Coturnix japonica: one gene and its partners. The protein of the gene in region 1 purifies or fractionates together with the protein of each later gene. This does not show direct contact. Links are inferred from orthologs where the notes say so. Each region holds a gene or a part of one and is shown in the gene's direction. Other genes may lie near its edges.

Region 1 (4,937 bases):
CAAAGGGAGGTCAGTCTTGGCCATTGCACATATGTTATAATCCTAATTTTGTTTCGAAATCCAGCCTAGTTTGAGAGCAAACTGTAAAAAGAAATGTGTGTAATAACAAGGCTTTACAGAGCAGGCAGAATCCCGAGTACGGTAATTTATTTATAGAAAACATGTGGATTGGTTAATGAGGGGAGAGTGCAGCGCAATGCAAGTTGTAAAAGAAGCTGGAGGCTGTAAATTCTGCAGCATTTCATCTGAGTCCTTTGTCATGCAGCAGAAATACCTGGACATTACCTCTGCAGAGGGCATGGCAAAGTATGAGGGGGCTGAGATTTGTCCAGAGGGACTGGTGGTTTGCCTTGGTGTCCTTCTGGGGTGCCGATCTTGAATATGTAAAGCACTGCTGGACTGTTGAGCTGGACATCCTCAAGCAGACTCAGTGTTATGTGAAGGGCTGGAACCATTGCTAAAGGCTCGTTAGAAGAAAAAGAAGTAGAGTTAATCAATATGGCCCCAACCTCTGCAAAAAATGTACCAGAGAAAAGTGTTTTTTTGTCACAAATCAGCTGTGCTGAGTCGCAGCTCAGCGGAGCTGGAAAGGGGCTGTTGTGCTTCTGTCTCCCTGCCACGTGGTTTGCCCTGTGCCAGCTCTGGTTCTGCTCTGCTTGCAGAGCAAGCCCATTTAATTTCCTGATCTGCATCCCTCCTCCTCCCTGCCCCGCAGTTTGCTTTTTCTGTGTTAACTTTCTGCCATTTCAGTGATCTAAATCAGCTTATCATATGATCTGATGAGTGCCAGAATGAGCTAGATGCTCATGGGAGAAATATGTGACAGGAGGAGGGAGGGAGGGAGGCAGGGGAAGGAGCTCCCCACTGCAGTAGCTGGGATCTATTAATTCAGCTCAAGCTGTACAGAGGAGCCGTACCCTTATGGTGCTGTAGCTGAAGGGAGACATCCTCTTCATCATCAAGAGACAAGACAAAGAGAGCTCTTCAGGTCCAGTACATCACTTGAAGAAACCCCAGCATTTTATATCTTTAGTTTTACCTAACAGTGAAGACCAAAGCAAAGACAAACATACTTTTTTGGTCACCCAGCTTGTGTGCATTTACCCAGTAAATAAAGCAAAGCTTACAAATAAAATACGTGCTATATGGAGTTGAACATTCTGATGCGTTAATAAATGATCCGTACTGACTATGAGCTTTGCTGAAGTAGAAAGAAAAGAAGCAAACGTAATGTCTGTGCTTAATCTTAATGATCATCCTCTTAATGTGGAGATAAAGACCTAACATTTCTAAAGAACATTTTAAAAGGAATCTCCTTTAGCTATCTAGTGTATGTGTTGCTTTTCAAGTGAAATAGTGGAAGAGTCCAGCACAGCTGGGCAAAACCCAGCAGCTGAAGATCTCCAAATGCTTTGCTCTGTGTGTGCTCAAGGGATTGGTGAAGTGCTGGTGCTGATGCTTCTCTCTCTTTTCAGGGTCGACATGTCAAAACAGGCCAGTTGGCAGCCATCAAAGTCATGGACGTTACTGAGGTGAGTAGAGAAACATTCTGCTTGGTTAGTAATGTGAGTAAAATTCGACGGCAAGAGACGGCATACGGTTTACCTCAGGTTTATGTGGAAGGGCACGGTCCTTGCAAGTGAACATTTGCTTTCTGTTTGCAGGGCCTGACCTCTTGAGCCTGTCTACCCATTATGAGATTTCTGTGTGCTTGTGTGGAGGGGCCTCTGGCCTTTCATAAATTGCCGTGGCTGCTCCCAGGAGCACGGGTAGGAAACCTGCTTTGGCAGGGGGTTGGACTCGATGATCACTGGAGGTCCCTTCCAACTCCTACAATTCTTTGATTCTGTGTAGCACTCCCTTACCTGAAACTTCTCAGAAGTGGGGAGGAAAGGAACATTCCCCACTTCCTACTTTTTTTTTCTTTTAAATATATCATCATACATCTGCCTTACCAAAAAAAGAAGGTGAGGAGGCTGCTTGACAGTAGTTTCCTTGGTACATTTGCAGCCTAAAAAGGGCGTACATTTATTCAAAGGAAATGGGTCCAATAAAGTTCCCAGAAGCCTGAAAGCAGAAACATCTGCAGGAACGATGAGCAGATTGCTGGCAGAATTCAGCAGTGTAAAGTAGTAGTTGTAACTGACCCAAGGGGATTTACTGTGGAGCTTTAGATGAGAAAGACGGGAAATTAACCCAGCCACAGAAATAAAAAATATACATCCATGCTTGAATCCTGAGCTGTCATGTAGTTTATACTGTTCAAAAAGCAATCAGTTTAAATTAAGACTTCAAAACAGACCAGAAAAAGCATGGCTTTTTCCTGTTGATTCCAGTTGTGTTTTACCAAGTTACAACCTCGGCAACGGCTTGAGATTTAAAATCGAATTAGATCCTTTTGTGTAGTATCCACAATGCTTGACTGACACTGCACTGTTTGAAGTTCATCCTGAAACAGAGCATCTTAATTTTCTAAACTCCTCAGTTTTACAGAGACACTAGGGGAAAAATCAGGTTAATGTGTATACATTGCATTAGAGCAGGGGTCTTTGGCAAGCTGGTTGTATTAAGCAAAAAGCTCTTACAAGGGTATTGCTGCAAAATATTTTCTATTTTGATATTGTGTGTGTGGGCCCTGGCAGATCAAAATGGACAGAAGCTGCCTGGCAAGTAACTGAGGTGTGATGGGTGATCAGGCAGGACAAGGAGGAAAACAAGAAGGCAGGGATGGGTCAACTGATAGTACTTCAGTTCTATCTCTTGATCTCCCTGTGATCGATGAGCAGCGTGACTGCTGATCTCTTAACTGAAGCAGTTGTGTCTGCCAAGAGCTAGACATTCTTGCTTTGTAAGATGGCCTGATAAAAACTGATGTTCAGCTGGAAATTTTCAAAGGTTGCCTTCTCAAGAGGCAGCGCTATTTTTCTGCAGTTAATATGTAGACAAAACAGAGAAGGATGAAGGTGCGATGACATAAAATGAATGCTCTTTGCTCAGCAAATGTTTCCATTTGTGCAGCAGCGTGAAGTAGAGCAGCTTGCTGGACTGTAGCAGTGAAGGTTTCTTCTATAACACTAAGCTTGGTTGTATTGCACACTTCCCTCTGTTTTTAATAGCATATATTAATCACAAACAGTTGTGATGGAGAGGTTGCACAGCAAAAGGCAAACAATTGAATAATGCTGGGTATAGCGTGGCTGAGCTCATGTTGCAGGAGATAGTTTATGTTTTGAAACTTGCTGCAGATTTGGGCTGGTTTTGAAAGTTGTGTATTGGCACCATCTTCTACCTCACAAGCTCATTCTTTCTTAGGGGCTGCATAGCAGCCAGAGGGAGGATTGGGAGATGTTAACCCCACACAGTGTAAAAGCGTCGCTGTTCCTACAGTTGAAGCTCATGTGTTTTTACTTCAAAGTAATGAGCCTTTGGAGGCCAAAAATGCGGTGTAAATTCTTCCAAGTCATGCTAAGTCAACTGTACTTTTTAACACCAGGCATGGATGATATTCCCATAGGATATTCCTGTCCGCTCCTACTGGAGTCAGTACTTGGCTCCCTGTCTGCATCCCCGTATTTGTGCTGGCATCAAGGCTTTGGTCCAGGCAGTGACTCAGATCAGTGAGCAGCCTTCAGTTCCCCTAAAAATTCCCTCACTTTTCTCTTCCTGCTGGTTATTTATAACCTGGATAAGTTTGCTGCTCTATTTTAGCATGTAGTCTTTACTGTGATGAAAGTGGCATGAGATTGGGAAAGAGCCATTGATGACCATGGAGGTGTAGGGGAAGAAAGAGCTCCGAGTGGTATTGCTGCCGAAGATGGCCTTGCCATCCAGGTATGGCTTGGTTTCCTCAAGGAATGGTTTTCTGAGCATCTCCTTTACTGGCAAATCACATTTAAAGCAGCTTCATCATCATTCTAGCTGACAGCAAGATGGTTAAGAGCAGAGAATGTAAGGACCTTCTCAACACAAGGATCTTCTCCACTTGCTTTCCTAGCTATATTTTCATGAGCTGCTCTTGTGAACTAATGGTAACTATCATCTGTGCATATATGGGGGAAAGAGACTGGAATGGACACTCTCCTAAAAAACTGAAATTGTAATGCTTTTTTTTTAATGGGCAGCTATTGAGGCTGTAGATGATTCGTGCCTTGGTACGTGTATTGCTGGCAGTACTTAATGCTTAAGTGGTGCTGTGGATGATATCTGATTGTTGTGTTTAACTGGTGCTGAGAACACACACAAGACTTTCTTTTTTCTCAGGTACCTCTGATCCAGTGCTTGCTTTGCCAAACACTTAAAAAATTAGAAAGCCTAATGTGTTGGCAAGCTCTGTAGACACGCCTCAGATTTTCAATTTTCAAGGCCCGGTTCTGCAGTTCCTGCACTGCTCATGATCACCAAGGTTACATCAGCTCTGTAAAGCTTTGATGACCTGAACAGAAGGAATGTCCAAGTCAAAGTGAAGACTTCCCTTAGAAAGTTTTGGTTGGCACAAAGAAAATGAGGTAGTGTAACCTCCAACTAGCAACGCTGGAAGAAACATTATAGCTCAAGCTGTACATGGTGTTTTGGAAATGCTCTTCATCCTTCCCAGCTTTTCTTGTGGTTTTCTATTCAGATTTTAATTTTGAGAAGAATGGTGGTAAGGATGAGAAAAGAGGAGGTGGGCTGAAGATATCAGCTTGATCTTTGAATATATTATGACTCGTCAGTACTGCTGCCTGAAATGGTGGGGGATGTTGACGTGCAGATTTGCCGTCTCTTCCACTTTTTTCTAAACAAATTAGGGAAAGCTCTGTAAAATCGTGTAGGTCTGTATAAATGCACAGATCTACAGCACTCAAGCAAGCACTGAAAGGATCTAAAGGTCTGCAAGCGTTCTTATAGTCTGGCATTCATGTAGATCATGCTGTGCTTTCTGGGGATGAATCTGGAGC
Region 2 (5,155 bases), on another chromosome or scaffold:
GTTCTCCAACACTTTAGGACTCTGAGTTAAAGCATAATTAAGAGATCAAATCTAGCAAACAAGAAACACGTGGCTATATTTATATATATATTTATTTTGACAAGAATTAAACAGAACTGCAAGTCAATAATTCACAGCATTGTCTATAAATTAGATGATTTTCTGGACACAGAGGTTTTAATTGTGTTTTATCTGTACTAAATGTAGAACAAAATAGGTTAACCTGGAATTAAAAATGGCCCAGTGGCCCAGTGCGAGCAGGGGACAGCAGGTGGGCAAACACTTTTGAGGTATACACTGGTCTGATCAACTTTCCAGCTACGAGTCTGCTGTGAAAAAGCATGTAGCAAATGAAGACAGTTCATATGGTTTATACCTGTGTTCTATTTATTTTTGTTGTTGTTCTGACTGTGCACAGGCTTTACTAAAACTCGTATCAATAAGAGTGACCATTTTTGTATTCTGGGCCTTAGCCTTCAAATTACTGTCCACCCAGAAATGAAACAACTTTGTCAACGTGGCTTTGAAATAAATCACCATATTTAACTTCAGGATGAGGAATTTTAAGAAAAGCAGCCTTACTAATCTGGGGAAGCCAAGGAGGAAGGAAGCAGCTAAAAAAGTTTTCCTTTGCAGAGCGGTTGTCAGCATGCTGCCTGAATATAGTAACGGAGCTAAACTGCAGCACTTCCAAGGTAATGGGCAATGAGGAATGTCTCAAGGGCTGGAGTAAAACAAAGGGCCAAGAGGACTGTGAGGTAAGGGGCAATTTTTGGTCACGATTTGATACTGTCTGGGGAGAATGAAAAAATCTGCTGAGGTGGAAAAGTTGGATTCAGACAGGCTGATCAGTGTGGAAAAGGGAAGACTGAGGAAATGATGGTAGGAAATGACTTAATGGAGAAAAGTCGGATAGGAACTGGTAAAACAACTGAAACAGCAACATGCACCTGAGGTCAGCAGAGAGGAAATGCCAGCACTGGGACAAGCAGGATTTATTTTTCGGCATTTAATACAATTACAGCACTGTCAAGAACGAGCCCATTAAGGACACCATCCATGTTCCACCCATATATACAGCATATGCATTTTTAGGGAAGTAAAACCGAACCCGTGTGTTATTTGTGAAGGGGCGGCCTACAGATCCACCAGGACGTGGTGGGCACTTGGTAGCGCTGCATTTCAGGGCAGTGCTGTGCAGCCCAGCTTTCACCACGTCCATGCTGTGCAGCCAACCCGGGCTGTGCTGCCATGGCACACCAAACCTGCTGCTAATGTGCGCGCTCGTTCTTCCCATCACGGAGGGGAAACATTACACAAACCCCTCAACTACAACAGCACGAAGACGACCTTCATTACAATACAATTAGGATCGGGCACCGCCAGAGCACTTTCAGCCAACCTGTTCTAGAACCACCTACTTGTGAGACACACCGAGCAGCGCCCAGCACAGCCCGGCGAGGCACAACCGGAGCGGCCTTACAGCCCCTCCCAAAGCGGCCGCCCCCCGCCCGCTCAGTGAGCAGTATCGGTATCGGTATCATCAGTATCAGTATCAGTATCAGTATCAGTATCAGCCCGCACTGCCCCTCAGCGCAGCCCCCCCCAGGTCACGGCGCTCACCTCCCCCAGGCGCATGCGCGCTCCGCCGCCTCGTCGGGCCGGGAGGAAGGAGCGGAGGGGAGAGGGGAGCGAGTTCCCGGCATGCCCCGCGCGCCGTGCCGCTCCCCCTTCCCGTGTGGGTGGGCCGAGGCCCGGCGGGCTGTAATGGCGGCTGGCGGCGGCTGGGCGCTGCTCTGACACCCGGATACCGCTCGGCGCGGCCCCCCGCCTCCCCGTACCCGGCCCGCCCCCTCCCGCCCGCCGCAGCCAGCGCCGCTCGCCCCCTCCCCGGCCCCCGTTCGTGGCCCCCCGCCGCGGGACGAGAAGGAGGGCTCCCCGCAGACAATGGACGAGCACCCCGGAGCCGGAGGAGGCGGCGGGATGGCGGCCGCGCCGAGGCCGCAGCAGCCCTCGCCGCAGAGCGGGGGTAACGCGAACCTGCAGCCGGGCGGGGGCTGCGCGGGGGCCGGAGCCGGCGGCGGAGGGCAGCAGCAGCCGCAGGGCCCCGCGGCCCCGGGCGGGCAGGAGGCGGCGGGCCCCGCCGAGCTGTCCCGGCCGCAGCACTACACGATCCCGGGGATCCTGCACTACATCCAGCACGAGTGGGCCCGCTTCGAGATGGAACGGGCGCACTGGGAGGTGGAGCGGGCCGAGCTGCAGGTACGGGCCCAGGGTGGGCTCCGCGCGCGGGGCCGGGACCGACTCGGGGTCTCGGGGCCGCACGGGAGAGCGGGGCCGGCGGGTCGCCAAGGCCGGGGCGGTCGCTGCGGGACGGGAGCGGTACCTGCGCGAGGGCCGGACGGCGAAGCGACGTCGCCGGGCGGCGGGGCTGGCGGAGGCGCGGCCGCTCACGGCCCGAGCTGGGCTCCCTTCCCTGGGGCAGCCATTTTGGTTTTTAGCATGGCGCCCGCCTGGGCTGTTGGCGCCGGAGCCAACCCGGCTCCGCGGGCCTCGAGGGCCGCAAAACGCCGGAGGAGGGCGGGCGGCCGCTGAGCGCGCTGATCGGTCGTGCGGGGCAGGGCCCGGAGCGCCCTGACAGCTGCGGTCCCCTCCCCGAGCACAATGACTCGGGGGCTTTCGGAGCCCGGCCCTGCTCAGCCCTGGGTGCTGCTTTGGGAAAGCTGCGGCCCGCGGGCGTGGAAGGATACGGCTTCACCGGAGCTGAGCGAGCGGCTCCTTCGGGGTAGCGGGGAGGCGGCGGTGCCTGCCGAGGTGGGAGAACGCTGAGAACGGGGTCGAGAAATCTCGCAAGCAACGGACTTGACCGGGTTCTCACGGTGGAGACAGGTCGAACACATGCTCTCTTTCCTTCCTTTTTGTTTCTTGGGAGACCTCACGTGGGAGAAGCAACTGCTGAAGAATAGTGAGGAGCTGATGGGTCTGCAGTGTGATCCTTGTCCTACAAATACAAACTCTGTGTCAGGAGCAAAAATTGAACAACTCTAGAGGGCAGGGAGCAAGTGTTTGAGTTCCAGCATAGATCTCTGGCCATAAATGTTTGCTTTTCATAATGGAAAAGATCTCTTGTATTTACGTGTTCATATAAAAAATAAAGCCACGCATCACAAACTTATGTTCAGTTTATGAAATCTACAGAGTCTGAGGCATTTGTCTATAAGTTGTGCATTTTTTTTTCTCCTATGAAAGCATAACAGTTAAAATTGTTTAAAAAAGAATGTTTCTTGTTATGATTTATATGTTGGGTGAATGTTTGCAGTCTTGAAGCAGCATTCCATCAAATCACGCCTTACCTGCAGTTTGTGGAAACATGCTGTAGCAGCAGCCAGTGTTTGTGATGTACGTCTGTGTACATCTTGATGTATGTCTGTGTACATCTTCAGACTGTAGAATGGAGAACTCTACCTAAACCTGGACAATTCTTTCAGGATTTTTCAACTCTTAGACCACATGTGTAATTTGCAGGGTTGTTGTTGTTACAGCTTGAATTGAGATAGAATAAAAGAAAACAAAACATCACACCTTCCCCCTCCTCCCCCCAGAAAAAAATAAATAAATAAATAGTAAGAGAGATTTTGCTATTTATTTCACTTACTGCCTGATTTACTATTTTAAACCTTTCAGAACAGCTGATCCTAAAATCACTGTGGTGGAAATGGGGTGGGTATTTTCAGTAGCAATGGACTTGTTCTCATATCTTCTGTAGCGTCTCAGTAGTATAGTACTGTATTGATAGGTAAATAAATAGCTCAGTGGTGTTCATTATCAAGCAAGACCATCTTGAAGTACTTGTTTTGTGTATAGGCTTGTGACTTCACAGTGAAGTACCTCGTTCTATAAATGTAAGGTGCAGTTTTGAGATGTTGAAAACTCTGACTGGAAGTGCTGGTGTGAACTCATGTGGCCTCTAGATACTGTGATGTGTTTCTGCCAAGTCTGCTGCTTTTTTTTCTATGTAACTGTAGTTTGTCATTCACAGCCACAATGTTTCATTTGCTTGTTACTTAATCTGCCATCCTAGTTCTGATCCTGGCTTTGTATGTGTTGCTTCACTCTATCTGTGTGTGTGCATTAGGTCATGGGAAGCAGGAGCAGTGCTCCCTGCCCAGTGTGTGTGTATGAGGGGAACTTTTTTGTTTTTTTGCTGACTTCAGAAGCCCAGGATAGAAGTGTGATCAGGAAGGAGGCAGGGAGAGTGTGTTTCCTTTGCATGTTAGATGTCAGCCTTCATAGTGATTAAGTTCAGTATAGGACTGTGTTAAGCGTGTTCTTTTGGAGGACGTGCATGAAAACCAGGCCCTATGGTTTTCATGTATGTGTGTGTATGTTTATAGCATATAATTACTTTTTGGTCCTACAACTCAAGTAATGAAGTCCCAGTTTATTCTGTGACTAATAAAACATTTTGAACCCCAAACAACTGCTTTGCCCTTTGAAGCCTCTATGACTGTTGTTCATCTGTGAATGCAGCCTCCTGAGTTGAACAGGAAAAAAATCTGGTAGCATGACAGTAGTAATTAATATGGAAGCTAGAAGCATGAGAACTACATTTCATAGATGCAGCTCTCACCCATGCAGGTAGTTTCTTCCTTCTTTAGTAATTAAAGGTCCCTTCCTAAGTTGACTTGATAACTTTGCAAATAACACTTTACAAAGAGTATGTGGAAAACCAAATGACTTAGCAGAACGTTGTTTTATTTTCTTGCTCTGAACTTAAGATTTTTTCCAGACAATGGGATTTTTATTGGCAGTTTTAAACCGGTGGGAATTATTGAGTGATTTTTCCCATCTCTCCCCTTCTGTCCCCTTTGTGGTTCAGGTGACTGGTAAAGAGCCCTCTTTACAAATGGGGGCAAGGCAGGTGGGCGTATGGTCTGCCATAAGCTTTTGTTTGGTTTTCTTTCTTGGATCTTGTAGTGAACTTTTAGATTTCTTATAGTACTCATGTATGGAGCACATCTTTACAATTAATTTCAGTTGCAAGTTGCTTCACCAACTTGAGGTTTGTACTACAGCCATAATAACCAATCCTCAGTCCTTTGGATCTGAATAAGTTCTGTACCAGTGTACTTTAGTCTGTGCATGTGTCAGACTC
Region 3 (4,453 bases), on another chromosome or scaffold:
ATCATAGCTAATAAATCCAAAAGCAACACTAGAAAGAGAAACAGAACAACTCTTGTTCTTAAACCTATTTTTGGTTTAGATTCTAGAACAAAACATAGATTCTCAAAGTGTCTCATGATAGTTATTTCTTTATTGAAGTTGATAAAACTTAATTATTTGGGATTATCCATTGCTTTCAATATAGTGAAAGTATTTGTATCTTAAGCATGACTGTTTATATCAGTGCTTTATTAATGGATTGTTTGCAGTGATTACAGCAGGGCAAATTTAACCATGGCAATCTTGGTTGAGAAATTCATAGAAGTCCATTTGACCTTTTACTACATCTGTTCAGAGGAACAATGTTGAAGTAACTGTTTATCTTTTAGGGCTTTCTTTTTGGATCTGTGTAAAATGCATTCAGTGCCAAGTAGCTACCTCTGTGTATATGACATCTTAGTGCTTGCCAGTAATATTCTTAGTATGTAGCCAAGACTTTTTTGCCTTTTTAAAATTGTTTTCTGGCAAGATCATCTTGTTGTGTGCTGTCACAGAACTTGTATTGCCTTAAGTGAATAGGTTAGACTGTCTTCCTTTTTGCACTGCTAGACATCTCTCCATTTCTGTTAGATCCCTATTAGATATAGATAGATAACATGTTAGTGGTACTTCAGATATTCAGGCACAGCAGTTTGCTTGATTAAAGCCCAGCATTAATGAATGGGCCAACAGCTACGTCAACTTTCAAATACCAAAATTTATAGCAGTATTAGTCAGAAAGGTGCTTTACAACCTTTAATTTGTGCAACCTAATAGACATGTGGAGTATTTAAGATTTGCACAGAATGCATTGCTGCAGAGATAGACTTGTTGCCTTTGTAGAGTATCTATCTTCATACTTGAGTAGTCTGATGAGCTTTCAGTGGACTGTTATTCAACAGGTTATAATGAAAAAAAGGTAATTTGTCATCTTCTGAGAATGGCAAACTAAAGCTCTGATATCCTTTCCTTGTATCTGATTAATCACAAATGTGGCCTTTTTATTATTATTTTTAGATAGGAAACAATACAGATGCACTGAGAAAGACCTGGAACCCCAAATTCACATTAAGAAGCCACTTTGATGGAATAAGAGGCTTAGCTTTTCATCCAGTTGAACCAGTACTAATAACAGCTTCAGAGGACCATACATTAAAAATGTGGAATTTACAAAAAACAGCCCCAGCAAAAAAGTAAGATTTTTTTTTTTTCTTTACTTCCTTAAAGCATTGTACTTATCTAAATAAAATTGTGGATATGGCTTCATCTGGTGGTCCTTTGGAGTTAACGGAAATTGTTCCTTAAGTACAAAAGCAAACTCTTAGAGAATTATGGAGACTTTTAGAGCATGCCAGAAGAAATCAATGCACGTTCATGAATTCATTTTATTTTTTAAAAAGAAAAAACGTTCCTTCTTTTTCAATATATGTATTTTGTGCGTAGACTAAGATGGGAAACTAATTTACTAGTAAAATATTTGGGTGTGACCTCATAGTATGCTTGAATCTGTGTATAAATATATAAGCATAACTTGGCTATATGTAAAAAGTAAATGTATACTCATGTGCACGAATACATATGTACAGAATTAAACATTGATGGCAGTGTTGCTAGGTTTATGTGTACAGTGTTTCCTTCATATTGTTAGGGACATGAGGAAACGAATATATTTGTAATAACGCTAACGTAGTGACAGCTGTTCATCATACCTTTTATGAAGACTGGACAATGCCGGTGGTAGTCCTGAAGTCTGTAATTAAATAAAACAAAACAAGACAAAAACAACCCAACACCTGACTGGTAAAGTCCTGAGCAGGAGTTTAAGTGATTTGTAACTGTGTTAGAGCTTTGGTTTAAAGGCAAGGCATTACAAACCCTTTCCTTGGGTAGGAATTTGTAACATTTAAGGAAATACTCCATATGATGCTGATAGCCCTCTACTCCTTCCCCACCACTGATGTACTCTGCACTGATGTGCAGAGATTTCAAAAGAGGTAGCAGTGATTTTTAAGACCTTACTAATTCTGGCACATTTTTGTAAAGCATAATGTAAGGTCATATGTGTGTTAACATTTTCTTGTACTTCATTTAGGAGTGCTTCTCTTGATGTGGAGCCAATATATACCTTCAGAGCACACAGGTGAGTTTTTTATAAGAACACCATTTTATTTGAGAAATACATGATTTCTAAACAGACACAAAAAATTTTAAAGCCATTCCCACCATGTCAACTAGTGATTCCATGCAGTACTTTTATTCCCATGTTATTTAAAATACCTGCTTATTTTCGTCTATTTTTGTCTGGCTCTGGGTACACTACCATTTATAAAAGAGAAAGCTATAAATTATGCAGTTCACATTCAACTAGATTTTCCATCTCAAAAAGGCTCTTGCCTTTTTGTCAGATATGTGTATATGTAGAATGAAGCTGTGTCCAGTGAATTAAAATCTACTGAATTGTTTTTATAGAAAAATCTTCAACTTTTATAAAGGGAAAAAAAGAAAATAAAACCTATAATCTCAAAATATGAAATGTCTGAATTGTCCTTACTGTAGTTAAATTACCAAATATTGAAGAGATACTGTTGTGGGAAGTAGTGTGTAGCCTATGATCTGAGAATGCAGAATTTCCATTGCAGCTAGTGAAGCAAATTAATTGTATTTAACAGGAAAATTTGAAGATGACAATATTTATCACTTAATGAAAATGTTAATAGTCAACTTTTTGGCATGTGGTTTCTTCCAGTGGACCAGTGCTTTGTGTGGTGATGAGCAGTAATGGCGAACAGTGTTACAGTGGGGGAACTGATGGCCTCATCCATGGCTGGAATACAACAAATCCAAACATCGACCCCTATGACTCTTATGGTACATAGCTGTCAGACACCGGCAAAAGAACACATTTAGTGACATTAACCATGTGTAGCTAAAATGGTATAATTTGTAGGTAGTATTTCTTGGAAAAAGTGAAAGAGAAGCTTGAATGTTTGCTCCAGTTAATGTAGATTTTTGTTTTAATAATGATGTTGGTTGATGAGAAGATGGTATTTGTCATTTTCTTAAAAAGAGCCTCAGTCTCATTACAGTTCTGGTATACAACTAGGTTGAAAAAGCACAGGACTAACTAAACCTGATACCCAAAAAGGACAGGAAATGTATGTATAAATATTCATTTACAAATCTGTGCTGCTGAGATAAAGAGGTTGTAGAGTTTGAGACCAAAGCTGTTAATATTATCTACAAACGGTTAAAATCACATATTTCAGTAAAGTTTATGAGCTATAAATAGGCATCAGCCTTGTGTCTGTTTTAAAATGTTCCTCACATCTCATAGCATCAGATATGATTGGCCTCAAAGCTGTCTTTTGGAAAAAAGACTAACATATACCATTAGTGGCTCCATAAGAGTGAGTTTTTAAATCAAAATCTGTTTTATTATCTTTAATACCATTTATTCTGCTGAAAATTTGTTTTGTTCAATTAAATACAAACTGAGAAACTGAATGCCACTTGTGCTGATGAAATTAAAGAAGAATAATAGAATAATTGGAACTATTATACTGATAAGACCTGCTTGTCTTGGCTATTAGTCTTTTTGTTGTTGTTTGTTTTGTGGTTTTTTTTTGTGGACTGACTTGTTACGGCTTCTTCATACACACAGACCAAGATAAAACAATTCACTTAATTCAACTTTTATTTTGAAATATGGTTTGTTTGTCTTTTGTTCACAGATCCTTCTGTTCTAAGAGGTGCTTTTGTAGGCCATACTGATGCAGTGTGGGGTCTGGTTTACAGTGGCACACACCAGCGTTTGCTGTCCTGTTCTGCAGACGGCACTGTACGTTTATGGAAAGCTACAGAAGTTGCTCCAGCTCTCAGTGTATTTAATGATAATCAAGGTATGGAATTTTAAGTTCATTAGCTTAACTGTTCAGACTACCATAATCTTGACTACTGAGTAGAAATCCTTTCTTGTTTGTTTACTGGATTTTATACTGTTATGATTGTTTAGAAGAGCAGTAGATTTTGGATTTTGACACCAGCCATTATTGATAAATACACACAGGCGGACAGTCACACATACCTAAAAACTATGTGTTGTAGGTTACTTGCTGATATTGCTGGATCCAGAGTATAATGTAGCTGTTCCATAGTTCAAATTCAAAGTGAGTTTCCATTAGGCCCTTGCAACTGGTTTGTCAAGAATAAAAAACCCTTTCTTACCCCCAGAGAGGTTTGAAATAGCCAGTGCTTAGGTCCAGCTCAGCATCCTAGCACCTTTCCAGTTGAGGTTCCTAGTGCTTCTGACAGAGATTGCTACTTTCAATGAATTCATGAATTTTTGAATGAACTAAAAAGCAATAATCTAGTCATCCTAAATGCTGTTAGTTGAAAAAATTTAGTCATTAGGGTTTAATTACTGAAATGTAATGCG
Region 4 (5,182 bases), on another chromosome or scaffold:
CAAGAGATTTCAGAGCAAAGTTGCCTCTGAGTCATCTCCACATTGGCAGGAGAAACTGGCAAAGAAGAGCAGTGTCTCTGCAGGTAGTGCTGCTGCAAAGGCACAGATTAAGAGGCTCAACCAGGTGAACACATCCAGCCCCTAAGACAGACCTCGTCATACTGTGAAGGAGCTGAAACAGAAAGCTGCTTTTATTATTATGGGGCTGCTGAAGAAATGACACAAAGTCTTCAGCTTCTTTTGCGCGTATTCACACATACTTTGTACCTGGCTAGAGCGTAACTCAGGTGAACTCCTGGCTGTCCCTGCTGGAGCAGCCTCTGCTCTGCCGCCTGCTGTAGACCCGCTGGCAAGGGCCTGGTGCAGAGCTCGTGCAGAGGCAGTGAGTCACAGCCACCTCTGCTCAGTCATTGCAGCCTGCAGAGGCAGCAGCAGCAGTCGGGGCGCTGCTCGTGCTTTGTCTGGTGAGGAAGTGACTGTACCCTGCCATGGGAGCTGCTCCCTCCCCTCAAGAGCCCGGGCTGCTCCTCCTCGAGCTTCAGGACAGGGCAGTGTGCAGGAGCAGCCCCTCAACTTTGTGAGCTGGGGATTGCAATTAGTCCCGGCCCTTTGCTTGTGCCATCTGTCTGTTCCCCGAACATCCCTGCAGGATGTGTGTCTTAGCAGGTTAATTTAATAACCGCCTGCTTTATTGTTGCTGGCCACGGGCACGGCACGGAGCAGAGGAGCACATCAATAGCACAGAGCAGGAATCAGATCCAGCCCAGATGCTCATTTAAGAGGTTTGTTTTGCTGAGGGAGAGCGAAGCCTCCCATGGGCCCAGCCCTGCGTCGTTCTCCTTGGCAAGAGATGGGTAACAAACAGCAGTGATTAAACCGGGCCACAGACACAGGGAGCGCTACAAAGAGGTGAGGGCAGCACAGAGCAGCAGGAAGGTGCTGCTGGCTGGAGGTGAAGGGTTGGCCATGGACAAACAGCAGCTGGATGAATGGGAGCTGCAGGATGGTCAGGCATTGGAATGCACTGCCCACGGAGGTGGTGGAGTCACCGACCATGGGAGTGTTCAAGAAACGTCTGGATGTTGTGTTGAGGGATATGATTTAACTGGGAAGTATTGGTGATGGTTGGACTGGATGATCTTCTAGGGCTTTTCCAACCTTGATCATTCTGTGATTCTGTGATCAATCCCAGCTCTGTGCACGAGGCCGCCCCAACGCTGGGTCCCACTCTTTGCCCCCAGCCCCATTTCCTCCCTCATTCCTCCACCCCAGCCCCATTTATTTCCTCCCTCATCCCTCCACCCCAGCCCCATTTCCTCCCTCATTCCTCCACCCCAAACCCATTTTCTCATTCATTCCTCCACCCCAGCCCCATTTCCTCACTCATCCTTCCACCCCAGCCCCATTTCCTCCCTCATTCCTCCACCCCAGCCCCATTTCCTCCCTCATCCCTCCACCCCAGCCCCATTTCCTCACACATCCCTCCACCCCAGCCCCATTTCCTCCCTCATCCCTCCACCCCAGCCCCATTTCCTCACTCATCCCTCCACCCGAGCCCCATTATTTCCTCCCTCATTCCTCCACCCGTTGCACACAGGCCGGGCGGCACCACAGAGAGGCGCACACAAGGAGCCCAAGTGACCGTGTAATCTCATTATTATAACCCTCATCCTCATCCTTTCCCCTTGTCTCCCTCCATCAGTCGCCGATTAGAACCGGGCGGCAGCTCTGGACCTGTGAACAAATAACGCTATTTACGCACACAGCCGCGCGGCGGTCGGGCTGTGCTGGTGTTGGAGGTGCCCTGGAGCCCAGCCGGGCACTGAAAGCCCCAGGGGGCTTCAGGGGGGGTTTCAGGGCTGAACCCGGCCCCTTGTTGGCACCGCCCTCCACACGAGGCCCGGCCCCCAGCACCGCCGCCATGTTGGGTCGGCTCCTCGGTGTCACACTCAAATCGTTCCCCCGCGCGCACACCCGGTGCCGCACCCAACCCCGTCCCCATGGGCGCGGTGACGTCACACGCCGGAAGTGACCCGCGCGGAGCAGAGCGGCGGGAGGGGCGCGTCTCCGGTGTCGCAGCGTAATCCTTCCGGGCGGGGCCGGGCGCTGCCGGGGCCGGGGCTATGCGAGGGCCGCGCTGCCGCCTGCCCTAGGCCCGGGCCCGGCGCGGGGGGAAGCGTCGATCGGGGCCCGATGCGGGAGTACAAGGTGGTGGTGCTGGGCAGCGGGGGGGTGGGGAAGTCCGCCCTCACGGTGCAGTTCGTCACCGGCACGTTCATCGAGAAGTACGACCCCACCATCGAGGACTTCTACCGCAAAGAGATCGAGGTGGACTCGTCGCCGTCCGTGCTGGAGATCCTGGACACGGCGGGCACCGAGCAGTTCGCCTCCATGCGGGACCTCTACATCAAGAACGGGCAGGGCTTCATCCTGGTCTACAGCCTGGTCAACCAGCAGAGCTTCCAGGTAACCGGGCTCGGCCTTCCTCACACACGGCACAACCGAGCCCGGCCCCGCTGGTTGTGCGGCTGTTTATGGGGCTGCCCCCATCGCGGAGCCCCGCGCTGTGCTGCACAACAATGACCCGCTCCCACTTCCCTGTTAGAAACCTGCAGGCGAGCCCCTTCCGCGAGGAGATCACTCGATATTAAAACCAACGCTTCCTCTTTTCTTTTTCTTCTTTCTTCTTAAAAAGGCGTTTTTCTTCGGTTGCTTTTGAAGAGAGAATTCTTGCTCCTCACTTAAGACTCGCTCAATCAGATGCCGTTTTCCTCCCCCCCCCATCCCCCCAAATCACGTTCCTGTCCAGCACGAGCTCGGTGCTCTGGCAGCGTGGGTGGTGCACAGAAGAGCAGCGAGCCAGATGGGATCATGCGGGGCTCTGGAGCTATAATGCGGGGCTCTGGAGCTATAGTGTGGGGCTCTGGAGCTATAATGTGGGGCTCTGGAGCTATAACACGGGGCTCTGAGCTCGGTCCTGCTATTAGAGCTCTCAAAAAATGGAAGCGTCGAGGCAGCGACTGGGCTGAGCTGCCTGTGGGATTGAGGCTTTATTTGAAGGGAAACGTGCGTTTAGCAGCGCTGCGTACAATGCAGGGATCTGCATCTGCTGTGTTGGCTTTGCTTTCGGAATTGGGTGTTTTCCAGCTGCTTGGAGAAACCTCGCACACCCCCCACTGAAGCAGAACGGCTGCTTCTATGAGGGCTCGGTTTGGCCTTAGCAGAGGGTTCCATGTAGCTACAGACATGCTCCCTTTGGAAAACAAGGCCGTCGGGATGATTCTCCCTTCATTCTCACGTATTTGGGGACCGGTGTCTCCCCATTATTCAAGAACCGGCCATACACAATCCACCCTGTTAATCTTTAGTTCTTTTTATCTGTCTACAGCATGTTTGCTGCAAAGCCTGTAGGTGTAAACCACCCTACGGGATCTTTGACACAGTGGTGACTTCAGATGCTTAATTGCTTTGTCTCAGAACTATGCAAGAATTTGCAGAACTCAGTGGCTGGCACTGATAGTGACTTAAAACAGTCAGGGGGCAGAGGAGTCTGACTCAGCCTGTGTAAACTAATGTTAGCTCAGGCTTGAATAAATGCATCTCTAGGTAATGCAATCTTCTTGCAGCATCTAATTTGGTTACTTACACGTGATTAAACGTGTTCACAATGAATTATTTTAAGCTCTCCACAAGTGAGAAGGCTATTTAAATTATTGGCTTTCTCAAGCTGTAAACTGAACTCAAACATCCTAATGGCTTTTCAAAGCAGCTGGGCTGTCTTCCTCCAGCCAAACTGAAAGGCTCTCTGAGATTTATGTCTTTATGGGCCTGTTTTATAAAACATAAGCATAGCTGTACATGTGAAGTTAGAAAAAACATTATGAAAAGTGGGTGTAGAACTTCCTGTGAGTTCCAGATCCACATGGCAGTGAGTTTAATGAAGCTTTGAAACGTGTTCAGTATTGAGTAGCATGTGATGGTTGGTTAAATGTGCTTCTGTAGTGGTTGTATAGTGATTTCATGTGATTGCTTGCACACACTAACTGCTTGGATTGTTTGATCAGGACATCAAGCCAATGAGGGACCAGATTGTCCGGGTGAAGAGATACGAGAAAGTCCCTCTGATCCTAGTGGGGAATAAAGTGGATCTGGAGTCGGAGAGAGAGGTCTTGTCTGCAGAAGGCAGAGCTCTGGCTCAGGAATGGGGCTGTCCCTTCATGGAGACGTCAGCCAAGAGCAAAACGATGGTGGATGAACTGTTTGCTGAGATCGTCAGGCAAATGAACTATGCCTCCCTGCCTGAAAAACAAGATCAGTGTTGTACAACTTGCATCGTCCAGTGAGAGAAGTTAAGGAAAACCTCAGTCATGGCCATACAGAGCAGGTTGGTTGAACGGTCGTAACTAACTGAAGCATATAAGCTTTATATTTATTACTGTTTAAGTAAGATAAAATGCGCCAAGGAGCCTGAAATTAAGTGGTGTAGCTTTGGAGGTAGCTTTCCTCTGAAAGAGCTGGAAGTTCGTGAGTTCCTTTGCACGTAAGTACTTGAATCGCACAGACTTGTTGCCTTACTGCAGTAGTGTTGGTTCAGGGAACACTGCCTTTGCTTGTAGCAATTCTGTAGTGCAGCAGAGTTCACAATCTCATCTCCACCTGTTCTGACTGTCAGCACTGCATTGGACATTACTGTATCCTTAATGATGTTTTGTGATATTTTAGTGGGATTCCTCATTGTGTTTGCTATCTGACTTATTTTCAAGTTAATGTGAAGTACCTTGGACTTGAATAGTGTTATATTTGCCCAGCTTTCCATTAATTGCACTGAGAAGACTTTGAGCTTGCTTCAAAGAAAAAAAAAAAAAAGCTGTACAGAAACTGAATGTACTTGGAGCACATTTCTGTCTTATCAGTGAAATAAGTTTAAGAGAACTACCCTGAGCTGTGAGGAGTGGCTTGAAGCCCACATGTACTGGTCAAGGACATGTACAAAGTGTTCTTCATCTAACGACTCCTGAGCAGAGAATACATGATAAAATGGCCTCCCGAGGCCTGACTCTGCTTTCCCAGTGACTCATAAGAGGTGTGGCAAGAGTACAGTGTTCAGAAGGGACCCTGAAGGCTTCACTGGTCTTGGGTATTGCTTTCCTTCTTCTGCAAGGCCCTTTGCCTGCATGGTCAT

What was found.
Region 2: the proteins of MAP4K4 (region 1) and STRN3 purify together in Homo sapiens (affinity purification with mass spectrometry; 4 studies listed by BioGRID and IntAct, with this or other methods). This does not show direct contact. The link is inferred for Coturnix japonica from reciprocal best matches to the Homo sapiens genes MAP4K4 and STRN3.
Region 3: the proteins of MAP4K4 (region 1) and STRN purify together in Homo sapiens (affinity purification with mass spectrometry; 4 studies listed by BioGRID and IntAct, with this or other methods). This does not show direct contact. The link is inferred for Coturnix japonica from reciprocal best matches to the Homo sapiens genes MAP4K4 and STRN.
Region 4: the proteins of MAP4K4 (region 1) and RAP2C purify together in Homo sapiens (affinity purification with mass spectrometry; 3 studies listed by BioGRID and IntAct, counting the BioPlex papers as one, with this or other methods). This does not show direct contact. The link is inferred for Coturnix japonica from reciprocal best matches to the Homo sapiens genes MAP4K4 and RAP2C.

What each region holds. Positions count from the first base shown.
Region 1 is NC_029516.1:120,423,023-120,427,959, forward strand, and holds the start of MAP4K4 (mitogen-activated protein kinase kinase kinase kinase 4), read left to right. Parts: upstream 1-1,458; 5' UTR 1,459-1,517; coding exon 1,518-1,532; intron 1,533-4,937.
Region 2 is NC_029520.1:30,850,608-30,855,762, forward strand, and holds the start of STRN3 (striatin-3), read left to right. Parts: upstream 1-1,754; 5' UTR 1,755-1,947; coding exon 1,948-2,262; intron 2,263-2,386; exon of another isoform or gene 2,387-3,569; intron 3,570-5,155. UniProt on the Homo sapiens protein: Calmodulin-binding scaffolding protein which is the center of the striatin-interacting phosphatase and kinase (STRIPAK) complexes.
Region 3 is NC_029518.1:28,887,643-28,892,095, forward strand, and holds part of STRN (striatin), read left to right. Parts: intron 1-1,035; coding exon 1,036-1,211; intron 1,212-2,110; coding exon 2,111-2,158; intron 2,159-2,764; coding exon 2,765-2,886; intron 2,887-3,749; coding exon 3,750-3,917; intron 3,918-4,453. UniProt on the Homo sapiens protein: Calmodulin-binding scaffolding protein which is the center of the striatin-interacting phosphatase and kinase (STRIPAK) complexes.
Region 4 is NC_029519.1:3,390,683-3,395,864, reverse strand, and holds the start of RAP2C (ras-related protein Rap-2c), read left to right. Parts: upstream 1-2,077; 5' UTR 2,078-2,193; coding exon 2,194-2,466; intron 2,467-4,064; coding exon 4,065-4,343; 3' UTR 4,344-4,384; intron 4,385-5,182. UniProt on the Homo sapiens protein: Small GTP-binding protein which cycles between a GDP-bound inactive and a GTP-bound active form. May play a role in cytoskeletal rearrangements and regulate cell spreading through activation of the effector TNIK.